Linked DNA regions of Drosophila melanogaster. Changing the gene in region 4 together with the main gene of any one other region gives a genetic interaction. Each region holds a gene or a part of one and is shown on either strand. Other genes may lie near its edges. The genes, in order: PIP4K, vap, RN-tre and Rab5.

Region 1 (6,925 bases), on a different chromosome or scaffold from region 4:
AAAGTTGGCCAGTGTAATAAGTCCTGTACTCCCAATAACAACTAAAGAGTCTTTAATGTTTTATAGCTTTAAGTTACCAGAAGTAATTACAAAGTACATTAAATACACTTCTCGTTTTTTTAGGCGCAAAGTGTTGCACGAGCTAAGCAATTGAGAGCGAAATTTGAAAAATGGCAAAATAACGAAATAGAACAAGAAATAAAGGAAGGTCGCATTGATGTATATTCACAGCTTATTTCAAACGAATCTATTGAAAGTGCCAAAGCGTAAGATCAAACTTACTTATGTATCTTGACTAATTTGCAAGGTAATGGTCCTTTAATTTCAGAATACGGGAACGCTTTGAAAATATGAAAAAATCGGAAACTGCTATGGAGAACCCATCAAAAACTCAAATAAAACGTTTTGTTGTAAGTGCAGTAGAATAAATATCCTTACCCGACTCACCAATTTTTTCTAGTAACATCGTGATGGTCACTAAATCCGAATTATTTCTAAATGGATATTTAAGGCAATATATTTGCATTCGTCCAAAAGATGATCATCTGGAAGCTTCAAAATAATATCTTATATTTTATGTCTTAGATAAATACATTTTTGACATTTTGAATGTGGCAAATACATAATGAGTATAATACTTTATTCTATAGCTTTATCCATAAAGTCCAAGAATCGTTTGGCATATTGTTCAGGGTCACAGGTTGATATACCGTCAACATTACTGCCATATTTAACAGTTTTGGCTGCTTTAGCTGCCTAAAATATGCTGTTAAAATTACAACCTTTCTTTTAAGTATTAAATGAAATACCTGTTTTTTTACTCCATATTGTGTAAGAACGTCAATAATTGCAATAAAGTAAATTTCGCGTTTTTCTGCAATACAGTTCAAAATATACATTAATTCTCTAATTTTAATACCGGTAGTATTAGTGGCAAAACGGTAGAAGTGATTGGACCAAAAAATTAAAATGTGCACTAAGAAACCAGTAATAGAAATCTCATTAGTTAACAACTGAAATTTAAATTTATTAATGGGGTTCTATTAAAATAGTTTTTACCTGCATTGTATGTCAAAGAACAAAGTATTTATTTATTCTTTATAAATTTATTCTTAATAATATTTATTATTAAATATATTAAAGAATAATATTTATTCTTTAATAAATTATTTAAATAAATTGAATGTAATGTAAATTGGTGTAAGGTTATCACACATTTTTGCTTAACTATATTGTACCCCTTGTATAAGCGCAATGCACGAAACACATCAAATGAAGCGAAATGGTCACGATAGTTGACGATTGAAGCAACTGAAATTTTATGATGATTGCCACTAAAAGAGTGATTCCCAAGTCTGATTGAAGCTACGATCTTAACTGCTGAATCAGAAGAGAAAGTTTAAGTATCCTATTCAGAAATCGGTACTCCCCGGTGTTTTAATCATGCATAAAATGGAAAAACAACATATATTGTTTTTCCAAATATTTTGGGTAAAATCTTAAAAAAACGAGCTTTAACGTAAATTTTGTTTCAATTTTTTTACGTCATAAGCACGCACGCATCATTTTCAAAAACTTGAAAAATATAAAAACGACCAATATAAAAATGCTCTTTGTTAAGTTATCAGGGCTATTGCGTACAAAACTTTTAAACTACATTTACCTTCAATACTTGGAATGTCATATATATCAACTTCATAAACGACTTCCTTATACTGTGCACCTCTTGGAGAATCGGGAGGAGTGTTATACGTCCAGCTTTAACAAGAACTGCGTACATTTAAGGCTTAAATAAAATAATTTTTATTTACCGTTCCCCGCTATCGCATTCCTCGCTTTCGCTGTTCTCACTGCGACCAACAGTTAGTATATTATCTCCCTGCAAAGCTTCCTCCTCTGCACGAACACAGTCATGCACGCCGACCAACAAAGAGTAATCCATAATGTGCAACTTGGTTAAAAGCTAAAATAAATTATATGTCACCATATGCTATCAAAAAGTATTGGTAATTTATATTTATAAATAAATAAATTATCAAGTCATGCAAGACATAATTATATCTACTGGTTATATAGGTTAAACTACAACAATTTAAAGGTTTTTAGATAAATTTGTTCAGATTAAATGGTTTTCAAGTACCACTTCGTAGGACTTTTTTTTATGAATTAGATTTAACGCAATATGCTTGAAAATGGCAGCACATTCGTATGATTTTCAAGACCTGAAATTTATATAAAATGTGCAAGGCGACAAATTTGTAGTCCCTATGAATTAATAACATTCAAGATATGTAAGACGATGATCCTCGATATGTTAATTGCACTCCTTATAGCACTTACAGCTTCCCAAATTTCGATGTTTCAGATCGATTCAACAAGTCTAGTCGTCGCAAGCTGAATACTCTAATGACAAATATTCTAATATAAAGTCATTTTTGAAATTTATTTTCTGGTATTATGTACATAGAAGATTAGGCTATTATTATTTCTAAGCTATATTTAAATAAAAACAACGTTAAGGCAATTCAAAACAAATAAATTTGTACATGGTGCCAATTGATCAAAAATAATGTAGATTTAAAGTCTAAGAACTTCTAAGATGAAGGGCTTATTTCGTCAAATTTACAATGCATGAGCATACGTACAGTTGTCGGCTGTCACTGTACGCGTAGAAAAGAGCTGCTGGCTGTAGAGATTTCCGCTCTCTCGCTCTTGAACAAAAATTCGAGAGAGCCTGGAGCCACCTCTAAAGCCACGCCAAAAAAATCGTATGGCGTTACGCATCTTGTTATTCTATAGTCTTTGGTAAATTGGTATACTATATTGGTACTATTGGTACGCGTAGAAAAGAGCTGCTGGCTGTAGAGATTTCCGCTCTCTCGCTCTTGAACAAAAATTCGAGAGAGCCTGGAGCCACCTCTAAAGCCACGCCAAAAAAAAATCGTATGGCGTTACGCATCTTGTTATTCTATTGTCTTTGGTAAATTGGTATACTATATTTGTTGGAAAGTATATAACAGGTAATATGAAGCGTTTCGGACGCTATATTCCTGATCAGGATCAATGTCTGAATCCGAACGTCAATCCTTATGACCGCCTTGATCTCAGAAACTATTAAATGAAGACATGAAGATTTGAACTTTTGAATATTGTTTTTATATTTTTTCATATTTTTTTTAGTCTTGTAAATTTCTATTGATATGCCAAAAAACTTATTGCCACCTGTCGCCCACATTTATAACAAATTTTATTTAATTTTATTAGTTGTGTCGCAGTTTCTAGCGAACTTCTTCGTCCAGTCAATTCACATTTTTCTCCTCCCATCTAATGCCGTTAATATTAGGGCAACTAGTTGGGGAACCCGACTATAGCGTTCTCCCTTGTTTCTCATTTGATTCCCCAATTAAATTTCGCTTTGACTTTCCACTAGCTGAGTAACGGATATCTGATAGTCGGGAAACTCGCATTCTTTCTTGTTTAAATTTTGATAAAAACAATTATTATACGAATAAAATAAAAATTTTTGCTTACATCCACATCGTTGCTCAGCGTGTCCATTAGTTTGTCCTTAGCTTCCTTTCCAATGTCTAATTTCACTTTTTGTTTTATAAAATCATTGTCCTTGAAAGTCGGCAAATTTTTTTCAAGTTCCTTTTCTGATGCTTCCCGATCAACGGTGCTACCTTTTAAATCAAACTTTCTATCGAATAAATAATGGTTATACTATACATATAATCGGTGTAACTTTCAACATATTTCATACTTGTGTATTGTCAAGTGGGAGCTGAAAACATTCCTCATGACAACGAAGTAATATTGCACGCTTTCTACAGTGATACGATACATTCCCAAGTATTGAGGTAACAGCGTTTTTCCGTGTCTCTCCACAACGTACTAAAAATTATAATAAGGATATTTTAGTCAATTAAACCATACTTTACTCACCGGATGGTATTGCTTTAAAAATGCGTGCATTCGTTCAATTTCTTCCGATGTCAAACTTTTTATTATAAAAAACTTATCATAACTCTGATAAAATTGCGCTCCTGATTTTCCAGACGAATCAATTTGAATAGGTTGGGATCGAGTTAAGGACTCGCGGTAATCAACATCATCAACGCCAAATCTTTCACGTAAATTTCGAAACACAAGGGGGCAATATTCCTTGACTTTGAAATGTGACGGCATGTTTTCTCTGTAGTGGATATAATAACAGGAAAATACCAACGATTGAGAATATCAAAAATGTATTTGTTTTGGTTTCTTACTTATTAAATAGATGATTATCCACCTTAATTTTAGAATAAGCTCGAAAATCGTCCGGCAAAAGCATTACAGGTATATTAACGTGACTTAATTCATTAATCTGGAAATATTTCAAATTAGCTTATCTTGCCTTTCTTGTTTAATATTTGTTACATACAGTGTGATTTATTCCCCACATGAACACACTTAAAATTGGTTCATTGGCTCTAAATAATTTAACCTTTTGATGCTTAACCCTGAAGTGCTTCTTTTTTAAAATCCGGGGCTGGGATGACGATGAGATCTTTTTTTCCATATTTTGGGTGGCTAAAATTACTAAAATCAAAAATATAGTTTAACATTACTGAACAAATTAAGCAAAGTTAAATTTAGAGCTGATGAGCCACTTAAAAAACTAATATTTTTAATAATACATGCTGTAACATTGAATATATACATTCACTTATATATCTATATACACATATAGCCCAAAATTGATTAATACAATGTATAGAGTTGCACGTAAATTGTTTACCAATTTACATTAAACAGAACTTTGGTATTACATTTTATTGAAAACTAAAATAACCCAGCGTTCATAATAAATTTAGTTTACTTTGCAGATATGATTATTGTATTTTACAATGACTCGCAGGCTTTTGAACAGACAAATTTGTAGTTTACATAAATTTATAATATGAAATACCTTATCGATAAATTCAGATATGTATTTATTGTTTTTTATATCGGCTTATGAAACGCCGTTTCCACTTAAAAGTAATTCTGATATCACAAACTATTTAATACTTTAACTCTTAAATCTTCTAAATACTTCTATGCTTCTAAAAGGACTTCAGAGAGTTGAAAATCTTTTAATAATAGCAAGCAATACTCAAGAGAAACAATTTAGATCAAACAAAGAGACTAACCGCATTGTATATTAAATATAAAGGTTTTTGTAGGAGTTGTTTTTAGAAAACCAAAAGCACGTGCTCTGATATGAAGACAAATTTAAAGTGGAACACAAATGTGAGTTGATCGAAATTCTCTGCCATATTAGCGCTCGGGAAAAATTGAATTTATAAAATAAAATATAATCGGGCAAGCTCCGGTATTCGAATTCGTAAGAATTTTACGATTTCGATTTAAAATCGAAAAACTGGTGCTCCTGTGTTCGAATTCGTAAGAATCTTACGATTTCGATGTGAAATCGAAAAATTGGTGCTCCGGTTTTTGAATTCGCAAGAATTTTTCACTTTTGTTTGGCCGAAATGAAAAGTAAATGCCTATATTTATATCAAATCAGATCTTAGTGGTACCTTCTTTACTCCACATCACCCCACAAGATCATTCTGCCACATAGATATCTTATAAAATATTTATTTCTGATTAAACCTCAGATTTGACAAACAACATGTTGCCTTCGGCTACAAAAATTTTCGATCTTTTGATTTGTAAAACGGGCACTTTTGTTTGGCCATAACAGATCTTAGATCTTAGTGGTCCATTGTTTACTCCACATAACCCCACAAGATTATTCTGCGACATAGATATTTTATAGAAAAATTATTTCTGACCCCACCTCAGATTAGTGGTCCATTGTTTACTCCACATAACCCCACAAGATTATTCTGCGACATAGATATTTTATAGAAAAATTATTTCTGACCCCACCTCAGATTTGCCATACAAAATTTTGCCGTCGGCAACAAAAATTTTCGATTTGGCAAGAGGTCATATGTACGAAGGTAAAAATACTTATAAAATTTAAAAAATTGTGAATAAGATGGCCGCTCTATGGTCTGAAACAGCTGTTTACTGTTTATGAAGCATCCCGATATCAGAAATGTTGCGAAAACCAGAGCACCTAAAAACGAAATCGAAAGATTTTGCCCAAATCCAAAAAATGACCATTACCAGAGCATGCCGGAATAACTTCATTAGTTTTTATTAATTTGTTTTTAATCTGTTTACACCGTTACTTTACGATTCGGCTTGCCAAAGATAACTTTCTTAATTCAATTACGAAAATAAAGCTGCATGCTTTATTGTTCATGTTTTGACAATAATAAAAGCACAATAAATATTTATTTTTAACGTTTTATGAATAACGTTTATGAATATTTTGTAGAAAAAACAATGCTGAAAATATCTTTTGTGTTAGAGTCGGTTAACACTTCCCCTTTTCAGTAGAGTCGGAAAAAACTGAAGTACATCGGATAAATAATCATACCAAACTACTTCATTCTGTTTAAAACTTTCGATTTGATAGCTGTTTTGTATTTTAATTTTCTTATTTAAAAATATATATATTTTATATATTTCAAAGTGAAATGTAATATGATAAGTTTAAAAATTTAAAATTAATCTAATAAGAAAAAGAAAATCCTAATAAGGGGAAGAGTAAAAATACTTAAAAACTTTAGGAGAAAGAAACTTTAGTTGTATCACTTTTGTCTAAGAAGCCGCTATATATAGCTTGATTTCTTTCCTTCATAATATGATAATTATGCAAATTACATATATTTAGTTATATTTAGTTAAATTGTCGTTGTACATTGAATGATTTTTTTTACTATATTGATAGTAAAATACAAGATAATTATATCTTAAAATTTTATTGAGATACTGGCAGTTCTCTAAGCTCTTTTAACATCACGATATATGTGCGATCACTTAC
Region 2 (7,595 bases), on a different chromosome or scaffold from region 4:
GTATTTATATTAAATTCAGCTGACTATTGACTTTTCCATGCCCATTGCAACGCCTTTAAGTGCGAAGAAATTCGAAAAAAAAACATTTTTCAGCTGCAAGAAACCGAAAGGGAGCCATTCAAAAACACAGTGTATGTTTTCAGAGGAAGTCTTTTGCACTCTTTTTGAATTCTTTAATTTATTTCGATTTTATGCGTTATTTCAAAAAAAAATGTATTGACTTTTGGATAAATGCCGTGCATTTGGACGCCAACTGCCATTTGACGTTGGTAATGCACTAATAAATTTTAAACAATATCGAAAGCAAAACCATTTTGAATATCTGAGTTTGCGGCTATACGGAGTAATCCGTGTAAGCTAGTGTATTATAGGTTATTTTTAATTTGTAATAATAATAATAAATAAATGCATACCGGTCTGTTAAATATTATTTCATTTCCATATAAATAATTTTATAAATGAGATGCTGTTTACTATTCCAATACAATTCAACCAGTTATTTTGAGTTCTTATTTTATGTATTCTAATAGTATACACATATAAATATTTTTATAAAAAGGTATGAAGGGACTTGTAGATAAGAAGACATCGCTTTTTTTTATTATCCGCTCTCCTCGCAATTGATTTTAGCTGATCATCTCGCGATACTTCAGCTTGTGTTTGGTCAGCATGTCCGTCACTGTGACCAGCTTCTTAATTGAAAGTATGTTGGATAGCTCGTGCAGTTCTTGCGAATGAGATACGCAGATGTGATGCAAGGTAGCCAGCTCGCGTCCTGCAGGAATTATAAAAGAAATCATTGTATATTTAATAATATAACAGCGCCAAATAGAAAACATGAGCTGACAAATAATTACCAGTGTCTTGTGAATTCAGATTTGTACTTTGTTCGACAAACATTCCAAGCGGTTGGTTCGGATCGTTCACCGAGGACAGTTGATCCAAGAAAACAATCATACGCTCCTTGTTCTTCAAGATAAACGGATTGACAACCTCCATGTATTGTTCCTAAAAATGAAAAAGAAATCGAATTTATTTTGGTAATCACATAACTGAGTCGAATCGATACGCACCTTGCCGCCGAATTCAATCAAGTTGGCCAGATTCTGCAGACACTTGGCGACCATGACCAAAGATCGTGTTGCTGCCATCGGTGGCGTCTCGCTGACCAATCCAAATTGGCGTGGATTGAGCAGCGCTGGGCACAGAAGGCGCAAGAATATAAAGCCAGAGACGACGCGTGTGCGAACGAGCCGCTCTGTCGGCCATTTGGCCATCACAGCCTTCTGAAGACAGCTGCAAATGAAACGCACGTTGCGTGGACAGGCGTCCGGTGAAGTGAATATCGACTGGGTGACCAGATCGAGGATTTGCAATAGAAACTCGGCATTCGTACAGGCATCATCGTTGACGTCCATTTTCGTGGGATTCAATTCAGCCGACTGCTTGCTCTCCAAAATGCGCTGCACGGTTTCGCTGACGGCCGATTGCAGGAAGCCGCTGCATTCGGTGCGCATATATAGATCCATTAGGGTGGTGGCCAAGGATGCGCCACGGAAAAGCGTTGTGGTTTCGTTTTCGCGCGTCACCTCCGCTTGGCACAGCATTCGAATTAGTTCCGTTTCCCGTTTCTCCTGCCTAAAGACTCGCAACAGAGCCGTGGCCAAAGGAACCCGATCATTATGGCACAATTCAGCCAGCGCCTTCACAGCATACAGCTCCGATTCGAGGAGCAATTGCTGCAGAGGACTGTACTCTTCACACGGCATTATCAGATCGTCGAGGTAGCGCATACGCAATCGTAGCGAGCCCCATTCACCCATCGGCGTCATGCCAGTGAGTTGGTACCAGCCCTCGGTTTCCTGGCCATTCTTTAGACTAGACAAGTCAATGGTTAGCTCAGCCACTTCGGAGTCCTTACCGCGTTTGCCGCGCGATATTAATGTTATGGTTAGGGAGACAACATCTGGCGGAACATCGCTGCAAGCAAGCAAGTTACAAACATATATTATTCGATAAGTTATCAAATAGGCGAAGGAATGGTAGACTTACTCTAGCACAAACTCCTCTTCCCAAACGGGTTCGGGTGCAATTTTGACACGAGTTTTGCCCACTTTGACTTGATTGAGGGAAATACTGCAGTATGGATGTGGCACTAGTTTAAATGGTAATCGATGAGCTTCCAGCACATGCAGATTAAGACAACGAAGCTCACGAAGGCGTGATACCTTCTTCTGGGCACGACTCAGCTGGGAATCGCATTGTGCCTTGAGCGAATTAATCCACTCCACGTAGCTTTCCTGACTAGGAGCACACAGATACGTCACTGTGGCCAAGCATGGCAGGGCCCTTTCGACAATTTGGAAGCAATAGGGACGCTCCCACAGCGAATCGTGACATTGATAGAGGTAAGCACAGGACAAATCGATCAGACCCTTCGGTTTGGTCTTCTTCGGATTGTCGTAGAAGCATAGTTGCGTCTCGGAACCATCGTTGATTAAAGCGAAATAGAGTTGCTTCCATTTCGTCGTTTTGTCCGACTTCTTGTTCAAATGGCCGTGATGTTTGATTCCCTTGATCTTTTTGAGACCGATTTGGTCACGACACTCGCGCAATGTTGCGTAGATCTTTTCAGCGGCCTTTTCCACAACATATTGCTGATTGAACTCGGGCTGAATGCCATTGACAACTGGATGGTTCAGTGAGTGGCCCTCCACAATTTGCTCTTTGCGATATCGATTTATAACCGCATCCAAGCATTCGAATGTACGACCGCCCATTAAATAGCGCACGCCTTTCTTTTCAATACGAAAGCGTTGGATTTGATTGTTTATATGAAAGAATAGAGAGTAATCCCCCGGTGAGTTGTCACTTGGGCGAACGAGGAAACTTCCTGGTCCAGCTGTTAGGATGAAAAAATGTGTTTCAATTACATACATATAGCAACAGAGAAAAGTCGAAAATATCGATTGTAGGCGTCACTAGAAGAAGCTCAAAATTCTAAGGATTCATCTCGTGAATCTCGGGAAAGCTTGCTTTCCTTACTTGTAGGTACCTTAAACTAATAATACACACCTTTAACCAACATATCGACGGCTTCGTTTTTGGTGCAGTTGGGATGGAACCAGGGAAACACCGTATTTGGATCGATAGATACATCCAGATCGTCAACAAGTTCTCTGAATATCATTCCCTGCTCGCCCGTACGATGGGCAGTCACCCACAACCAGCCATCGCCCATGTCATTGTGTACAAAAAAGATATCACCTTTCTGGAAACTCAGTTCATCGGTCTCTGGCATTTTTGTGTAAGGCAGGATGGCTACGACGCGTTTCTTATCATTAACTGGCTCCGGCGGAGCAACTGGTATGGCCAAGCGTTCGCGTTTCAGTAGATCACTACATGAGGTATAGTAACCAACCAAGTCGCTTAAGGAAATGAATTGTCGTCCTCCGATATAGAAGTCTCCGCACACAGCTGTAATCCTATGTTAACGATACAACATACATATATAAAAAATCATTCAAAACAATGGCATTTAATGGGTATCTTAACCTATTACTTACCGAAAATGATTTATGCCGGTGCGGCCATAATAACTCAGAACATAGGAGCCAGGTTTGCGGTCACTTTCGCGAACTGCTCAGCATTAAAAAAAGAACACAAAGGTATTTATTTAGTAATACTTTCTCACCTTCGAATACCATCTTATACACACCTAAATAGCTGCCCAGTTTACTGCTTCCGCGTAGGCGAGACTCTGCAGAGTAGCGATCGAGTCGTCCATGGTACCATTCGCTTTCCGGAGGAGCAATAATCGCTGGACGTTCACCTGCGTTTGGAGTTTGCAAGGAAAATTAGTTATCGATCGAACTACAATGTATGGGCATGTAACTTTACTTACCATTCAGCATATGTGGTCCATCGAATTCATCGTGATCCAATTCCTGAGCCAAGTCACCCAAGTCGATGCCGCCAGGTGCCATTATGCCACCCAATCCGGTCATGCCACCCAGCCCCGCAAGATTCCCATCATCCGAACAGCCCGTTGGCGATCCGGGCTTATCTTTCTGGATGACAACATCAATGTTTCCCAAATGTATTAGGTCCGCCATTGTTAGGCTTATGATCTCTGTTCAGCAAATGCGAGTCTTAGTCTATATTTAACTTCGAGTGGAATTCGATTTAATAAAAGCCACATATAGCAATGATAAGAATGCGTTTAACTGAGGAGATACGTTAACTTTTGTGACTGTGTGGGGTTTTCCGTGCTAAACTGTAAGAAGACCAGATAAAAACACTTAGCTGCCTTACTTTGATTACAATACGAAAATCATATTTGATAAAAATCAGAAATCAGATTAGAGAGTCACTAATAGAATCAAATGCTTAACTAAACCAAGATATGTCTAAAACCATTCACTAAAAACGCCCCGAGAGATTTGTTAGTTCTAGTTTCCGCTTTCTAATGCTATTAAATATAGATAATGGAAAATAATTCGGAATTCGGGGCTTACCGTGAAATCATTTTCTTTGCCATATCGGTGGTGGTAATCTCACAAAAACAAATTGGAATAGATTCGCTATAAGTGTCCAAAACAAAATTCGGGTCCAATGTTACGAAAGTTGAGGATCTAACAAATAATTTAACAACGTATGCAAAATTGTGGGGCAAGAATACATCACACCTACACTAAATACGATTAAACCTAAGCCTATTGGTAAAACAAGAAATTTACTAATAGGCGCTATTACAACCGATTACAACCAGCACCAGAAACCGGGTTTATTAATTAGAATATAGAGACAATGCTACTTTATATCCAAAACCATATTTAAAAGCAATTAACGACGTAGACTTCGCAGTAAACTAAATGAAAGATAAGATGGACAGCACATCCATCAGCTGTTTGCGCTTTGTTTACTTTTACAGATAACAAATCAATTGTGATTGTTTCAGTCAGTAATATAGGAGTGTAGTGAACCCACAGCTTAGACAACAAAAAACCATACAACTTTAAGATCTTTAAGTTGTTTCTTCTATAAAGATTTTCATCTTAGAATCTGTATATTGATTCTATACGTTTTCAATGTGTATGGATAAGGAAAATTGTCTATTCCATTTCTTTGATATTTTAAACGGTTTTTCATCGAATTATTAAATAAACATTTACCTCTGGACGAATTAAGCTGTGAGCCACTGTACATATGTACATATTGCTCTTTGAAATCGCCGGGCGACTGACTTTCTTACATATGCGCAGACATTTTTAGGATATTTCGAGTTGTATGAAAGTACAAGTTACTTATGAATTGTAACACCGTATATATACTTTATGTACATTGGTATATATATAGGAATATGCTGCACCCTCTTGTACATCAACATCTATCTAAAACACAAGCGATTTATATGAGCCGCACACCACACACAAACTTTAGGCTAAGCCCTTTTTGCCAAACGAGCCGAACACAAAAAAATTCATTCGGTTCTTTTCTTCATACATACACGACCCGAAGAGTCATCATATCATCATCATCATCAACACCATCTCATCATCATCAACATCGTCATCACCGTCGCCGTCTTTATCATACTCCTCTCAAGCGGGGTAATTACTGCCCATTTGATTCACAATTTCTGGGCTGTGTTCGGTTTGTGATTCCTTTGTAAATGAATCATTAGCACAACCATTTAATTCTCTCTCATATGGGTAACAAAAAATACAAAAAAAAAAAAAATAAAACCATTTACACAGAACATTAATCGGTTAATGCGCATGTGTAAATATTTTCCTCTATATACTTTACATTGCACTGCAGCACCGAGCTAAAAAAACAAATCGCGCTGCTGGGAATTGCCGTCTTTTATTTGCTCAACTTGTGTTATTCATAACAATTGCATATTTAAAACGAACTAAAATTTCTTCCGTACCGATAGCCACAGAATTCAATTGTGCGCAGTGTGAACGTAGTGAATCATCGAAATATACCACACACCCAACTTATCGGACGAATGTATGTGCGTCAAGATAGCGCCAGAGAGTACAGCTCGAATAAGAAATCGATTATAAACGATAAGCCAATTTAAGATATAATATTTTAAAGAAAAAACAAACGCAAATAATATTTATTCAGCATTTGAATGTACATTTCTTAAATGAAAAGCTAATATGTGTTGAAATTACAAAAGATGATTTAAACACTTTGAAAATAACACATGTTTTTTGTGCGCACGAAAACCGTTAGCCGTCAAAATCTGAAATGGGGTAAAATTAAGTTTATATATTTTCATATTTTCAAGCTTATTTAGACAGCAGGCGGCAGCCCGAATCTTTGTCATTCGAATACTATTATATGGACACAATACTCTGAACTGAACAGTTCGACATCAGTGGGATTTAGAAGGCATAATCATGTCCAAGCGCCAACGCGATGTTCACGATGGCGCTGGAAAGAAAATAGCCAAGATTCGGTTTAAGAAGCTCATCCGATCCGTGATACTGAATATGCAGTGGCTAAGTGAGCTGCCCGAGGAGGGTGGAATATCGCTGAATGTGAAGAAGAACGTTGCCATGCTGCGACAGAAGCGCAAAGTGGGCATGATGACCATGGCCGTAAGTCCAACGAACCTCTTCTTTCATATCAAGGCTAGCTCAAGAGTTTATTCCTTTTTGTGTTTGCTTAATTGCAGGAGAAATCGCTGCTGCGCACTCCACATGCTAAGCGTTCCGTCGATGAGAGGAAAAAGCTCTGCACCATTGTGGCAAATCTGGCTTGCTTTTCAAAATTTCCGCCAGTGAGTAGCGCGCTGATCATTTGTACATATGTATAATATTACTTATCCGACCTGTTACCCCTTTTAGAAAGTCCGCGCCCGTCTTGTTCCGATTGTCAAATTCATGGCAATATCTCCCGGGCGTATTGTTATGAAGGAGGAGGATTTTCCCGTAACCATTTATTTTATAATCGCCGGTGAGGTGGAAATGTCTAAGAACATATATAAAAAGGTAAACTATTCAAATTATATATAATACTTTCTAATATGCTTTGCATAGTTATAGCTACAATTTTTCAATTATGCCTTATTAAATATATATGCTTTTTTATTTGAAAAATGGTATATTTCTTAGGGCTCCAGTCGTCCTACCGTACAAACGGAGGCCATTTTTGGACCCGGGGATTGCATTGGTGATATTGACGTGATGGAAGATACACCCAGAACCAACACTTATATCGCCACAAGTAAATCGATTCGTTTGTTTCTTGACACCTAATCGCATTTGATTCTTTCAGCTTATTGCGAACTCCTGGCTATATTCAATACGAACTATAAAATTGTTCTTCTACCGTTTATGCAAAAGATGTGGCAGGAAAAGAAGGATGCTCTGCGGGCCCTTGACTATTTTGACTTTCTCAACGAAGAACAGGTAAGTATAATAGTAGATAAAAAGAAATTATAATATAACTTGTTTGTAAGATTGTAAATGCCAGTAAGTATGGAACAATTCAGCAATTCGAGCCCTTGGAGACGATCTACACCGAAGACTTGGGTACCATGAGCTATGTCTATTTTGTCCTTAGCGGGGAATGCG
Region 3 (6,744 bases), on a different chromosome or scaffold from region 4:
ATGGAAATTATAGATCTTATAGATCTGATTGTGACCAAGATTATTTTGACTGTAACCGACTATGGATATATACTCACTTGTTGTCCTCCAGCGACATCGTTTCCGAGGAGCCGTGCGAGGCAACTGAAGTACCTGCAAGCGAACTTCGTATTGAGTGCGAATCCTCGGGAACGGTAAGCGTAACTAATAAATTGCGTTTATAGGAATTTCGTATTTTTTGTCGATTTGGTTTGACCAATCCCAGTTCGTCGTGTTGCCAATGCGTTGGGAAAAAAATTTGGTTTTTGGAAAATTGCATTTAGTTTTCAATTGTGGCTGTGATTGTGGCAATGTGAAATTTTTGTTAGCTGTGTTAGTGTTCTTGTGTTTTTTGTACTTGTTTGTGAGGTGCAAATCGAGTCGATTACTTCGTACTAATACTGTTTTCTTAGCCTGAAACATATATTGTAGTACAATAAACTGTATATATTGGGCTAACTGCGAAATCAACCATGCTGGCAAATGTGTTCTTTTCAGTACAAAATCATATTTATTTGTGTGGTACGTTTCGCTATATGTATAATCATATATAATTATTGGCTAATCAATTAGATTACAGCTACAATTTTGGCTTTAACATAAACTAAAAGTTGAGTTTTGTTTGTAATGCAAATATAAAGTAAATGCAAGAGCAAAGCTTAAGTTACCTAATCAGTTGGTTTATGCTAGTAGGTATTGTGGAATTGTGGGTAAGAAGTTAGGCGGTTAGCAATAAATATTAATCGTTGTACGTAGTTTCAAACGGAATAGTTGGAGTCTTAGGAGTTATAAGTATTTGGAATATTAAGTTGAGACTCTCGGTTGGATAATATCGGAGAGCGAGGGGAAAAGAAAGAGTGTGGAAGAAACACTAAATACACACATCGATGAATGCTAGCAAATGAATAACAATTTCAGGTTTCTGTCGGTTCGACAATACAAAAATTAAAGCTAAGTACATGTGGATATTACTACCGAATGTTTAAGGGGATTTTTGAGGGGGGGGGGGGGGTAAGGAATTCGTTATTGGCATATGCGTTTTACAAACCAAGTGGGCAAAACAAACATTAACTACATAAAGAAAGAATACGAAATACGAATCAACTAAGATTAAAGGCGTGTGTTCTCCACGCTCAGCGCATCATCGTCATCATCATCCGCAGCATCCCGATGCCCGTCCATATACCTGCCGCCTCCGCCTCCATTTTGCACGATATACACCACCTGGCTGCTGGGAGTCTTCGGATGGAGGGGCAGCTGCTGTCGCTGGAGCACTTCCAGTGCCTGATCCAGATCGATGCGATTGCGACTGTCGCTATCGCTGCTAAAGCTGTGCCGCATATGCTGCAGCCCGTTGGGCGGCAGAGCTGGATGCGTCTGCAGGTAGCTGAGATTGTGGATACTCTGGCTGCGGGCGGGATCTTGTTCACTATCGATAGTGGTCACCACAAATCCATTGCTGTACAGCGAGTAGCTGCTATTCGCCGGCGAGGTGGCTAAGCTAGTGATACTCTCAAACGTTTTCATTGAGTATCCATCACCTAGGAACAGAATTACAGAAGCGATTGCAAATTAGGTCAGATCTGATTTCGAGTTTTCTTTTTTTTTTTTTTTTTTTGCAGCTCCGATTGCCGGCAAGACGCAGAAGCGGTGGCTTGTGATCGAAACGGATATATATGTACACGCAGCGGACAATGTTAGACAATGGTTACAAAATGGATCATCCGATAACATGAACGTCGAGGGGCGTATTTAATAAGCATGAACTGGTTTTTGTGGCTGCCTTGGTTATTTGGCCCTTAAATGCTAATAATTTACATATACAGTTAGAATTAGTGCCCATTAGATCCGCTACGTCTAAAACTTGGTACTCCATCCAGAACCACTTAAACTCGTCCCACTGTTTCGAGCCATCCATCAAATTACACAAATAGGAATAGGAATTCCCTTCTTAGTTCCCTCCAACGTGCAAAAGGTCAATATTAGCATATTATTCAATTAGTTTAATGCTTCGGCCAGCGAGATGGTGACGCATTTGGGTTGGACTGCCAACGATGACTCGCTGAAAGTGGCTACGATCTTAACGTATACTCAAAAGGAAAACTATACATCGCTACTCAAATCAAACATAATACATATGCCATATATCATAGTCTAGAACTAAACAGGACTTTGTACATAGGATTAAGTCTAGGGCAACACCAATTCAAGTTCGATTTGAGGAACTGCTCGTGTTTCGGTTTACATATACATACATACATGATATATATACATACAATTTGTGATAAACTTGCACCACACAATACAAAATAAGAAATAAATTTTCAATTATTATTGCAGATTATAGTTACAGTCAGCAAGTGGGGTAAGTGGATTGTTTAAAGCAAGCATTAGGATTAGTAGATAAACAGTGTAAGGACTTGTGTGTGACGCATGACTCACCCGTTGCGCACTCCGAAGTCTCGTAGGACACTGTGGACTGAACGTCGATCGCGTTTTGTTCTTGTCTAATAAAGTTAAAAAATTATTATAAATATGTTAACGTTAACAACGCCAAGAGATCCCACCTTGATATCACATCTGTTATGACTTGCTTCTCCGCGTCTGTATAATCATTGCGTCTGCGCCCGATCTTCTTCTCCATATCCGCCTCCACGAAGTCACCTAGTTTGCGGGTGGGGAACTCGTTTGACTTGGCTGGCGGCGGCACATCCAACTTGAGGTCCTTCAGCTTCTTCATCACGCGTTCCAGAGCCTGAATGGCATCATCGTCGCTGTAGCCAAAGTTCTTGTGCAGCCGTACTTGCAAGTACTCAATGATGGCGTCCATGTCCTTCAGGCGCAATAGTTCGTCTTTGTGAAGGTACAGAATGGTGATGGCCATGGACAGTATGACGCGATCGCCGTCTAACATGAATATATCCCACACGCGCAGACTCAAACTAAAAGGAACCTGCAAAAAACAGATCTATTAAGTATTTTTGTAATAAATACACCTTGTGGTTTACATACGCGTTCCACGAAGACGACAAAGAACCACTTAATAGCGTACAGCAGGGCGTCAACGTTGTGTTTGGTAAAGTGCTTGTGTAGTTTTCGCATTATTTTCGACATGATGCGGTCGTGGTGATCGATGAATCGCGTCAGCTTCGGGAATCCCTCGATAAACAGCCCGTGCATGCCGTATTTTTGGTCTGTTATCAGGGTATTTAATGCCCAAAAAGCCTCCTCCTCGTGCAAATAAAGCAACAGCACGCCAGCCACACAGGCCATGCCCTGGCAGTAGCCCAGCTCCGAGTTGTAGATGCTATAGGCGTTGAGCACATTGAATAGCGAGCACTGCTTTACGCTGTAGCGCTCGCGAAAGGCAAGATTGTCGCGAAACTGACGATTCACATCGGCATCGATTTGTCGCGTCTCCGTGGAGTACTTCCTGGCCAGCTGCAGCATTCGGAGGTAGACGCCAGCATTGTTGTTTATCGATTGCTGGATGTCGAGCAGCTTATTCCAGGCCACCATACGCACGCGATCCGGTATGCCCTTGTAGACGCGCTTGTGCAGCTTATCCTGGGGCGGCGGCCACTGATTTAGCATCTTCATCCACTTTTTGTCCCGCTCCATTTCAATCTTGTTGCGATGCACCTCCTGGGCATCACGCGTCGACGGCAGCCGCGAGTCGTGCAAGAAGCCATATCTGTGGGAGCATCAATGGCATTATTGGGATTTTTTCTGGCGAATGATTAATATTACTCACTTGTCTGTCCTGTGGTAGATCTCGAAGGTGGGATTCTCCCAGGAGTCCACCACATTGCTGGGATCCAGCCCGAGTTCGTAGCGCCGGAAGATGTCCTCGCGCTCGTCCTCGGCCCGCTTGACCAGCGCCTCCTGCTGTTCGCCGTCAGTCATTTGGAGCAGGATCAGGATTTGGCGGGTGGGGGAGGGGATCGGGGACAGGAGCAGGAGCCGGATCCGGAGGAGCAAGTGGCCAGAGCTGGTTTCTCTGTGCTCTCAGTTGGGGAGCGGCTGCTTCTGAGCTGACTGGGCGATAGCGCGAAACTTTGATAAAAAAAAAATGGAATGGAAAAAATAACACACAAAAGCATTAACATGCGAAAGCGATCCACAATAACAACACTCGTATACTATATAGCTGATGAGCGAATGACGCACACGAACATTAACTATTGTATATATATATATATATATTCAAATGCAGTGAAATCAACATGATCTTTGTTTTTGGAGAAGGAGCGTGGCATAAATGACGTGATGTTTCACCCATATTTAGTGCAGCATCAAAACATAAAGCCATATAAGACTTGGTCACTGATCTAGAAAAACGCCCCCTGATCTGCGTTGTGTGAGTGTGAGTGGGCCAGAAATGTGTGGATCTGCATGCGCCCCCGGGTTTTTGTCGCCTATTTTAATGCGAAATGTGCAATCTTATGCTTTATCGTTCGTACACTTCCTGTTTTCGCTGCGATTTGTTGTATTTTGTCAACACAGACACATACGCACACACGTAACACACACACACACAGACGCTCCGACGAAAGAGAGTGTTCTGGCTTTCACTGGCCACTCTCTCCGCGTTCCTATGGTTGAGTTTAATTAATCGCGCCGACGTTCGTTTACCATTTAATTTTGAATTGCCAATTCTTATTATCCGCACTGATCGGTTATGTTTGGTAACTAGTTTTTCACTATTTTATCTCGGCTGCATGTTTCCGATACATTTGGGGGGCGACTGAGTGTGTGTGAGGGCCAGAGTTGCCAGACTGATGTAATTGCCGAATAACGTAACGTAACAAGAGTACCAGGGATGCGAGCCAATATTTAAGCGATACTTTAGCGTAATGTTATACGAGTTTAAATTTTAGTTGAAATGTTTGTGATGTCAATGTACAAATATGTAAAATGTTTATCTATTTAAAGCTGCAAATGAATGCTCATTTATAAATATTTAACAATGATATTTATTTACTTATTATTTAAAACCTATTCAGTTACTTAATTGCGACAAGTGGCACTTAATGAATTAAAACATTTGTGGAAAACATTTTCACTTCAAAATTTATTTCTTGATAACAAAATCGGCTTTTTAATTCAAATATAATTTTTGTGACTAAATAAGCAGTGCTGCCATACATTCAACTGGAAAACATCGTCAGCAACAGAAGGATAAGTAATCGCTTGATCGATAGCGTTATCGATGTTTTCCCAGCCATCGTTCCACCACTAGCGCCTCTCAAAACAACAAAAAAACAGCGGCAGTCGGACGCGGTTTTTATCATCGAGCGCGGTTTCTTTGTTTTAGCGCTCGAAAATTGTCGAGAACTCTCGTAAAAAATACACTGTACCAAATAACTAAGGAGTGCATGCTAATTGAACAAGCAAATGAATTAAGGTGTATATCAAAGTGAAAAGAAGTCAAACATAACCGATTTTGTTGGCGGCTTTCTTTTATTTTTGTTGAGATACCGTGTTTAATTTCTCCAGTTTTATGCAAACACATGAATAACATAACAGTGGAAATTTCTAAGAGTGCATTGTGAGATAAAAGTAAGCAAATAATTAATATTATGTTTAACATAAAATGCAACCCTCAACAGCGTCCTTTTTAAAGGTGTGCGTTTATATATATATATATATATATATATATATATATATATGTGTGTTTGTGTGTGCGTGTGAGTGATTGTGGATTTTGTGATGCAAAAGAAAATTGCCGCGTGTAAATTTTTGATTTTCAATTCGAGACGAGCAGAGGATTTTTAAACTGCAGCTCTAGCATTTACCGTTAGGGCAAGAGTAAACACATTCAACATGTTGCAGTCACTAAAAACTAAAACAAAAGCAAAGCGGATCACTCTCTTTCTCATTCTCTCATTCGCTCTCTTTGAGTTATAAGTGTTTTTGCCGTGTTTTGTTTTGATTTTTGCACATACACGAAGACATCGAGAGAGGAGAGCGGAGAGTTTCTGCTCTTTTGATTGTTGTTGCATTGGCCAGCTAATAAAATTGTGCCGTTCTTGTTGTTGTTGCAGTTGGATTAAAATTCAAAGCATTGGATAAATGCTAAGTTGAAATAACAACAGTAATAACAAATGGAAAATAGCAAATAGCAAATCAAAGGAAATCAAAATCAAGTTGGATTATCAGCACAGCTTCTGGGTAAGTAAGTTAAGTCTCTTATCGCCTAATTAGTTTATAGCGTTTTAGTTTCGTGTGGGTGGCTTTTTGCATTTCAAAACCAGTTCTATTTCGGGTTTTCATATGCCTTTTTTTCTCTTCTCATGTTGATAAGACCTTGAAGCGCTTTTCGTGTAGAACTTCGCATGATTGATGTTTTTATGTTTGAGGGGAGCTTGAGTCAAAGCTCGGCTTTTAAAAATGGATCAAGACCAGTTTTTCGAGGCTTTGGAATTGCCAAATAATTTCCTAAGCCCAAACTGCAGTTTGTTGTGGTTGTTGCTATTGCTTTTGCTTGCATCGCCTAGAAAATGATGGATGCACACACCTCTCGCTCTACCCTTGCCGTCCCTTTCGCACATCCAGAAGTTGTCGGTTGAGTTTTTATGGCCGTCTCTTTTGTCTCTCCATTTATTTGCCTTTGTCTTTGGACTGATGACTTTGTTTTTGCCCTGTCTTTGATTCTTTCTTTCTCTCTCTCTGCTTCTTCTTCAACGTTGATCCTTTGATTTCGTTTGATCCTTGTAGGTAGAA
Region 4 (7,927 bases):
TGCATCGGATCTTTGATGTTTGTGGAACGATTTAAACAAGTTGTTTACGGTATTGTGTTGTTCGATTTGTTTTATTTATTTATTTTAATTCACTTTACTTCCTCTCCGCTTAATTGCATACTAGATGTAAGTTTAATTTTTATGGATTACGATAGTATCTCCGTTCTCGTTTACGTTTAAAGATAGTAGCATTAAATCTTCGATTGTTGCTAGAATGTGGAAAATAGTTCAACGCAAGGCGAAATTGAAAAATAAAAAAATCTAAAAGTATGCATAATTGGTTTTCTTTTTTTTTTTGTGGTTTTCGTTTTCCTTCATTTTCATATGTGTATATATAATTTATATAAATTGCAACTATCACACGTGTCCGCCGCGACCCGGAGTCGAATCATCCGCGTCCGTATCCGGATCTGGAGTCCGAGCTCCGGAGCCGTAGAGACACACACATTGCCACAAACCGAGGCGAGCGAGGATCTTCAGCCGCTGGCCTGAACATTTGCTCCTTGTGGTGTTTGTTTGTTTTGTTTGTTTTATTTGGAACGCTGCTGAGAACAACTGCAACTGGAATCTGCCCCTTACTTAATGCTCAGAATCTTACACGACATGTAATCTTTACAAATATTCTTTGCTCGCTTAGTTGGTTTCGGGGTTTCTCTCTTTTTTTTATACAATACGATTTCAAACTTTCTACGACACGATGAAATCTCCAAAAACCCTGCGCTTTCTTCTCATGTTTAGTTTTCATTATTAATTTGCGTTGTTATTTGAAATGGTTTATGTTGGAATTATACTGATATTTTAGCTCAATTGCGTGAGTGTCAGTTTGCTTGTATATTTTTTGGACAGATATCGAGCGTAATGGGGGAAATCGGGTGTGGGAATTTGTAACTAACTTTCTTTAATTGCAACTTTCGTTTATGTTGGGAATGGGAGCTCCTTTGTTTAATGCTTATAATTCTTATGTGGTCTTTATCATTATTGGTTTCGTGGCTCTCAAATGAAATTCGTCCCCTGCGAGAGCCGGCTTTAGGTATTTCTTTCTGATTCTGTTGAATTTTTAAATAATTTTTTTATTTATAATTATCAGCATAAACTTTTCAAATCTCTCGTTGGAAATTTCATTTTCTGTAAAGCCAAAAAAAAACTGTGTTAGTAATGCAACCGTATTTCCAACGCAATTAACTTACCTACGAAGGGACATCACTTGCAGCAGTTGTTCGTCGGTCGATTTGTTTCGGTTCCAGTCGGCCTTATGCTGGTTCCCTGATTGTTGGCGCCATCGTTCTTAGGTAGTTTCTTGGCTGTGGTTGGGGTAGTGATTAGCAAAGTTTTCGAAGCGTTTACGACGGCTCCTTATAGCTTACCAATGGCCAAGAAGATGTCGTTCACATTCATGCCCGTCTTGGCGGAGGTTTCCATGAACAGCAGCCCGTTCTCCTCGGCATATTGCTTCGCTTCATCGAACTCTACGACGCGAATGTTTGACAAATCTGCCTTGTTGCCGGCCAGCGCAATGACAATGTTTGGTGAGGCCTGGAAAAAAGTTTTATTAATACATATTTTATGTAATATAATTTACGTATCAAGTGAACGAATTTCTCGAGTTAAGAATATTGAACTGAGGCACTTCATGAGCAATAATATAAATGATTATAATATTAAAACACTCTGCACGATATTCAAGTTTCCCCGCTGACACTCACTTGTTTATGCAGTTCCTTGACCCAGGTCTTCGCACGCTGAAAACTGTCCTGATTCTGTATATCATAGACGACAATAGCGGCCTGCGCTCCTCGATAATACATGGGAGCTAAGCTGTGGTACCTACAAAAGCGAATATAAGTATGTCAGATGAAGCTTTCAGTTGGGTGATCTATCCAGCGATACTTACCGCTCCTGGCCAGCCGTGTCCCAGATCTCGAACTTAACGACAGTGTCCTCTATGCAAATAGTCTGTGTCAGAAAGGCCGCACCTATCGTGCTCTCCTGGTACTCGTGGAACTGTCCCTTGACGAAGCGCAGCACCAGTGAGGACTTGCCCACAGCGGACTCGCCGAGGAGCACCAACTTGAATTGGCAGCTTTTGTTCTGCGAGGTGCCATTGGGCCGCTGCGCCGTTCCAGTGCCGCTGGCACCGCCGCTGCGTGGAGTGGTTGCCATGATCGGTTCGGGTTGGATCGGATGCGAATGTGGATGCGCTCTTCCTCCTCTGAGATGGCAACTGATATTTGGTTCTACGGACGGTTACTGCAACTCACTCCCTCTTCTGCTGAGTAAGTCTTTCTGCTAAGATTGCTGCTGAGTGTGGATGCGGAATCTGCAAAATACAAATAATGTACATATTTATAATGGAGACGGATAAAAACGAAATTGAGTGCTTCCAATTCTTCTGCCATAATGGTACGTTTTTAGGGCTTAAACTCAGTCCCCTTGAAAACATGCTGCCCATGTGGATGAATATAAAACCCACATAAAACCATCAGATGATTGTGTGGCGCCTTTGTTTGTTTAATGACGCCGTCGACAAGCCCAGTTCAATATGTACATATCCGAGAATATGCACAAAAAGCCGACGTTTTCCATCAGTAAATGAAACAGAGGAAAAGGGAAGCGTCTGCCAATGGTCACTGATAAATTCAATTGAAATTGAAAGCAGTACGCCCTACAAAAACTCACATTAGAGCTTATATTAGTTTATTTATATTTATATTTATAAGTGTTACACATCCGAAAACATATCATTACTATTTGTGTCACTTGGCAACATAATAGTACTGATAAGCTTGTGATAGGAAAATCAGTGAAAGCAATTGTTCCACGATTAGATGTTCAATGTTATGAGTTGTGTTTAGAAAATTCCTTGCGTGACTGCTTCAAACATCCACAAACACAAACATTCTTAATTACATGTGCAAATACAAATCCATCAACAACTAAAAATACTTTGGCAAACACAAAGGGGAAACCTTATATGCGCTTTCTAGGCGCAATTATTGTTTTTCCCTTTCTTCGTGGCAGATAAGGGGTTTACAAGTAATCGAAACTACAACATTCTTATCGGTCCCTTGTGCGGGAAATCTAAGTTATCGTAAAAGATATTTATTGCAGCTCCTCTAGGGGCTACCGCGCAATTGATAATTCACACACTTTCTGGTGGAAAATATTTCGAGGGCGGGTGAATTTGTGTACATATGTGTATAATAGTACATAACACAGAGGACGCCTCGCATTATTCAGCGGTAATGCGTGTGGCATTCACAGTATTTTTGTTATCAGTGCCACTTTTATGAATCATACGCCCCATTGGCCACTACACTTTTACCGATGTCCCACAGATACGTTGATCCCGAAACAAGATATCGTTTTAAACAGAGAGTAATCATTAAAATTGTTTAAAAATATTTACTGTTGCATATATTAACTAAGCTAAAGTCGTTTTCAAATCTTCACAAAGTATCGTTCACATGCTTTTCGTTTTTATGACCGACGACGGGAATCTCAGAATTCCGACAGAAATTAATTAACACATTGAAGCCAGACTGTACAGTGGAGATAAATCTACGAAGATCGGGGTATGGAATTCTACACGAGTCTTGTTTACTTTGTGGAGAGAAGTGAGCGCAGAGCGAAGAGAATTCACAGAGTGAGGGCGGAAGCTGTGATAAAAATCAATGCAAAATAAATTAACGGGGAGACGTGGAGAAAGTAAAAGCGTGACAAACATGTACGCTGTGCGGCGTTATTAAATTAACAAGGAATGAGGGAGAGAGCGAAATATGCAGGCCCTCTCTTTGCCATTAAAAATGCAGTCAGTCAACAATTGTTTGTTTCTCCCCCTCCCTTCCGATCATTCAATTGTTTTTTTCCCGGAGACTTTGGAGCCAAGTGCACAGTCACACACACATACAGAAGCCGACAACTTGGTCTCTCTTTTCGAAAACCGCACTCTCATTGCGATAAAGAAATTTCGCCTACAATTACTTTTCATTATCCAGCGAATGACGTATTTTGCTGTTTTTTGCGTCTAAGCCAAAACGAAAACTGCACTTTAAATTTAATTAAAACAAGCAGTGTGTCTCACTAAGCCAATGCAAAATTTTCCTTGAGAAGCGGACAGCTGTCAGTAAATAACTCACCGCTAATTTTAATTCGAACCGTAATTAATGCGGTTTATTAAACTTTAAAGTCACTTGGACAACAGGAGTGACTTTCGCGCCCGTCTGCGGAAAATTCAATAAAATATAAAACAACGTTCAGGAAATTACGGTTCTTTTAGAACAGCTGACGATGCGTCATTCACGCGACTAATACAAATGCAAGTGAATCAAAAAAGAGAATGAGAGCGAGAACAACAACCATACGTAGCCACAGCCTTTATCAATCAAATAGCTGTAATACGTGGAATTAAGTTACAAATCTTATGTTAGATTTTAAAGATATTTAATATAAATATGAAATAAAGAAGAACGTCCACATAGCTTGTGCTTAATTTTAAGCATGAATTAAGTTTTAAATCCACCTTTGGAAACTTAAAACATTTTCATTATATCAACATGGCCCTATTCACGTGAGCTTGACTGTGGAATTGCCTCACTCGAAAAGTCAACAAGTGCAATTTTCTCAGCACGCATATTTGAAGCACGTCTAGAAAACGGAGAATACAATTAGCGTTATATTTACTGTCACACCACACATCACTCCGTAAATATGTATAGCTTGACAAATGCGGGTCTTCCATTTGCAAAGCGAGCGAAAAGGTCTAGAATAAACAAATAGAAGGATGCGTTTTTGTTTACATTTGGGCTTTATAGAAACATCAGAGACAAAGACAGTTCTTTGAGAAACTTGCACGATAAGGGAACGGATTGCCGATAAATACACACACACCACACACCCACACTCTCTCTCATAACTAAAGACGCAAAACAGGCGGAACAAAGAACCGCGATTTTTGATCCGTTTTGGCGTGTAAAGCGCTGATAAATTGGGTGATAATGCGGGCCAAGATCCGATTTTGCCAGCTTTACTCCATACCAGAGTGCACCTGCAGTGTTCTTTATCTCTTCACAATTAGATTCGTGAACTATCTTAGGCCTTGCGACCCACTGTGCACGCTGCACTTGGAGCAGGTCGTACGGCCGTCTCGCTCTAGCGCCCACTCTCATGGGCAACGCACCCAAAATTCAGGGCCATCTATCGCGCTCGCTCTTACACTCGCACTATGGCGGACGGGGCGAAAAAATTTTACACAACTTTCTTAATTAATTACGAGGGGTGAGCGAAAACAACAACGCAAAAGCACTCGACTTTCCGCCGAATTACGCACTCTTCTAAACGCGGCACTTGGAGACCAGTTGACCATTTGCATTTACGTTTTTTCCTTTCAATTGTGTGCCCCAAAACAGCCCCAAGAAACGAAACGAAACGAGCGCAGAGGGAGATAGATAGCGACTGACTCGCCTCTCGCAAAATTATCGTCGCGTCGCAGGTCGTGTTTTTGTCGATTAACTTCCTGGGCGACGTCACCATTGATTTGCCAAAGATTTTTGTCTTTTTTAGCTTCCTTGCCTTGCTAATGGCTAGCGAAATTATCGCCTGGTTTATTAGTAAACTTAACTTACAACTTTCTTGGAATTTTATGTGTGACCGCAGGACGACTGTTGGAATATGCCAAACATATCCTAAGCTCTGCTCGTTAGCAGAGGCTCCAACCAACGATACATATTTCTATCGATTAGTGGGACCAACATATTACACAATATAAATAAAATTTTAATATAAACATTTCTTACCGTGAATATACAAAACATATTTCTTTGCTGCACGAGTCAACTAATGAATCGTAAAACGGGTATATTTTACATAATAATTGTCTTACTATGAATTTATGTAATCAATGAGCTTGCAGGAACCGGCTCCATTGGTGAATTTGTTTTAATTTTTCTTCTGAATTATTTCTTAGCAAATACACGCACCATCTACTAGTGAGTCACATTTATCTATCACGCTCTATCGTATACACTTTTATCAATTTTTGCCTGGTATTTTTAAGTACATTTGGATCGGTGCAGGACTGTTGTCATGTTGCAGGGGTCCAGCGACGGGCACACTGAATAGAAGAAGTAATAACATTGCGAGAAAAGAAGAAGTGAAAAATTAAGAAAAAGTTTACGGAAGTGCGAAATGAGTTTTAAAAAATAAATCATAATTTTGGGCGTTGCCAGGCGCATAGTAAAGTGATTGTGTTAATAAAAGAATACCGACCTTTGTGTCCTGATTCGCCTCCTTCACGCACACACTCGCACAGACTTGCACAAACACACGCACACAGTTGCGTCTTTCGTCATCTCTCTCGCTCTCAGTTTTTTATCGCAGCTGCAACGCAAATTGCAAAAAGGATAAATCCCACCGATCTTGCGAGTCCGGCCGTTGGCTTGGCTGCGAAAATATAAGCGCAAAGGTGGGCCCCCAAAAAAAGAAGCTAATCAATATTGATTTTGGTTAGCGGTATGTCTACTTTTCGGGTGGTCTCCTTTCTAGCGTGCGAAATTCTCGGGGATCCAGGATTTCAAAGGATTCTGCACACGCACACCCATCCAAGCACAGTGCTCATTCGAAAAAGCGAACATACAAGTGAGCGGAACATTAAAGCGAAAGATATATATTTTTAAACCATTACACGTACACAGAAAACAATTGATTTCTTGCGAGCAGTAAAATTAATACTTGAGCTAAATTAATATTTCTAAATATTTACACAAGTTGTAAAAGGTACACTCATTAGGCTTTTGGCAATTTGTTTGTTGGATCTAGGACCTGGTCAGGGGCTCTTACGAAACGTAAACAGGTGTAATTAATTTACTCAGAAATAAAGTTTCGCATTCCCGGCAGTTCTCCCTCTCGAATGGACACTGTACATACACACCTGATCTATACGTTTTCGCTACCTGCGAAGGAAATTTCCAAGCAACATTATGTAAAACCATTTCCTCCTACTTTCTTGCAGATGACCAAAGGACACTCAATGATCTAGGGACCTCGACACGGATAGCATGTTTAGTCCTATAAAAAAAATATTTACGTACATACAAAAAAATGCGAGCGGCTCCAATATGTTTAGCCCATCAGGAAACAAGGCCGCCGGCCAAAGGGAGGGGACCACCAGCCTAACTGCCCACGACGAAGGCGAAAGGAAGGATCAGCGGCATCTGGATCACAAGGATAATCAGAGCGAACCGGAGGAGCGGCAGCATCAGCTGCAAATATTTCCCCACCTGGACGATGACGACGACGACATCGAGAGGCAGATCAAAACCTCCATAATTGACGCCAGCAAGGTGCACGCAGCGAAAGCCAAGGCGTTGGCTTCCCTACCCATGCCGCTTGAGCAGCTCGATGATGAACTGGCGGACTTTGCTCACGGCCCGGCGGACACCGAACTAGAGGAGCAGTTCCTTGAGCTGGAGAACTATCCTAATAATGAGATAATCGTACTAGGCGATGCGGATCTTAACTCTTCAATAGCTTCCGACGCAGTCTCCGAGGACCCACTGGCAATTGACAACATTCTTGACTCCGCGTCGGTCACCACAAACGAGGAGGTCGACACCAGTGGAGAACTTCTTTGGCTGAAGTTGAACAATGAGACGGAAATGGCCACCAGATCAGCGGAGGTGGTGTCCAACAACCAAGCATCATTGGAGCCTGCCCAGCCAGCCAAACCGAAAGAGGATGAGCTTAGAGATGGTGGGTCTGATTCTGGTTTAGGAAGTGAAACCTCCGCGTTACTCAAGGATCAGGCGGAGAAAGAAGCCGAGCCGGAAATCCAGAAAAAGGTGGAAACGAAGCCCATAAGGTCCAACCTTAAACGGAGACTCGAAGATTCGGAAAGCGATGCTATAGATCTGGTGCCCGACATGTCTGCCCC

Evidence for each region.
Region 1: of Rab5 (region 4) and PIP4K, changing one suppresses a phenotype caused by changing the other (phenotypic suppression), as found in Drosophila melanogaster (one study listed by BioGRID).
Region 2: of Rab5 (region 4) and vap, changing one suppresses a phenotype caused by changing the other (phenotypic suppression), as found in Drosophila melanogaster (one study listed by BioGRID).
Region 3: of Rab5 (region 4) and RN-tre, changing one enhances a phenotype caused by changing the other (phenotypic enhancement), as found in Drosophila melanogaster (one study listed by BioGRID).

The regions. Positions count from the first base shown.
Region 1 is NC_004353.4:1,191,897-1,198,821, forward strand, and holds PIP4K (phosphatidylinositol 5-phosphate 4-kinase), read right to left. Parts: upstream 4,953-6,925; 5' UTR 4,812-4,952; intron 4,582-4,811; 5' UTR 4,562-4,581; coding exon 4,424-4,561; intron 4,367-4,423; coding exon 4,269-4,366; intron 4,196-4,268; coding exon 3,946-4,195; intron 3,895-3,945; coding exon 3,764-3,894; intron 3,701-3,763; coding exon 3,532-3,700; intron 1,964-3,531; coding exon 1,812-1,963; intron 1,759-1,811; coding exon 1,664-1,758; intron 1,090-1,663; exon of another isoform or gene 875-1,089; coding exon 810-874; exon of another isoform or gene 757-809; coding exon 640-756; 3' UTR 523-639; downstream 1-522. Other genes in the region: CG33521 (uncharacterized protein), read left to right, coding at 124-266, 329-410, 461-463.
Region 2 is NC_004354.4:15,999,811-16,007,405, forward strand, and holds vap (vacuolar peduncle), read right to left. Parts: upstream 6,003-7,595; 5' UTR 5,175-6,002; intron 4,635-5,174; exon of another isoform or gene 4,518-4,634; intron 4,277-4,517; 5' UTR 4,116-4,276; coding exon 3,905-4,115; intron 3,833-3,904; coding exon 3,719-3,832; intron 3,640-3,718; coding exon 3,567-3,639; intron 3,486-3,566; coding exon 3,076-3,485; intron 2,903-3,075; coding exon 2,053-2,902; intron 1,981-2,052; coding exon 1,074-1,980; intron 1,009-1,073; coding exon 858-1,008; intron 776-857; coding exon 627-775; 3' UTR 141-626; downstream 1-140. Other genes in the region: CG12698 (uncharacterized protein), read left to right, coding at 6,417-6,617, 6,695-6,799, 6,867-7,010, 7,134-7,245, 7,297-7,430, 7,481-7,595.
Region 3 is NT_033778.4:13,985,913-13,992,656, forward strand, and holds RN-tre (uncharacterized protein), read right to left. Parts: upstream 4,796-6,744; 5' UTR 4,654-4,795; exon of another isoform or gene 4,075-4,653; 5' UTR 3,925-4,074; coding exon 3,773-3,924; intron 3,713-3,772; coding exon 3,031-3,712; intron 2,972-3,030; coding exon 2,586-2,971; intron 2,526-2,585; coding exon 2,461-2,525; coding exon of another isoform or gene 2,372-2,460; exon of another isoform or gene 1,637-2,371; intron 1,560-1,636; coding exon 1,129-1,559; 3' UTR 514-1,128; downstream 1-513.
Region 4 is NT_033779.5:2,359,269-2,367,195, forward strand, and holds Rab5 (Rab5), read right to left. Parts: upstream 6,006-7,927; 5' UTR 5,793-6,005; intron 5,687-5,792; exon of another isoform or gene 5,569-5,686; intron 5,454-5,568; exon of another isoform or gene 5,045-5,453; intron 4,237-5,044; exon of another isoform or gene 4,137-4,236; intron 3,514-4,136; exon of another isoform or gene 3,407-3,513; intron 2,588-3,406; exon of another isoform or gene 2,471-2,587; intron 2,318-2,470; 5' UTR 2,161-2,317; coding exon 1,892-2,160; intron 1,825-1,891; coding exon 1,704-1,824; intron 1,534-1,703; coding exon 1,365-1,533; intron 1,302-1,364; coding exon 1,201-1,301; 3' UTR 1,188-1,200; intron 1,126-1,187; 3' UTR 298-1,125; downstream 1-297. Other genes in the region: Axud1 (AXIN1 up-regulated 1), read left to right, coding at 7,053-7,927.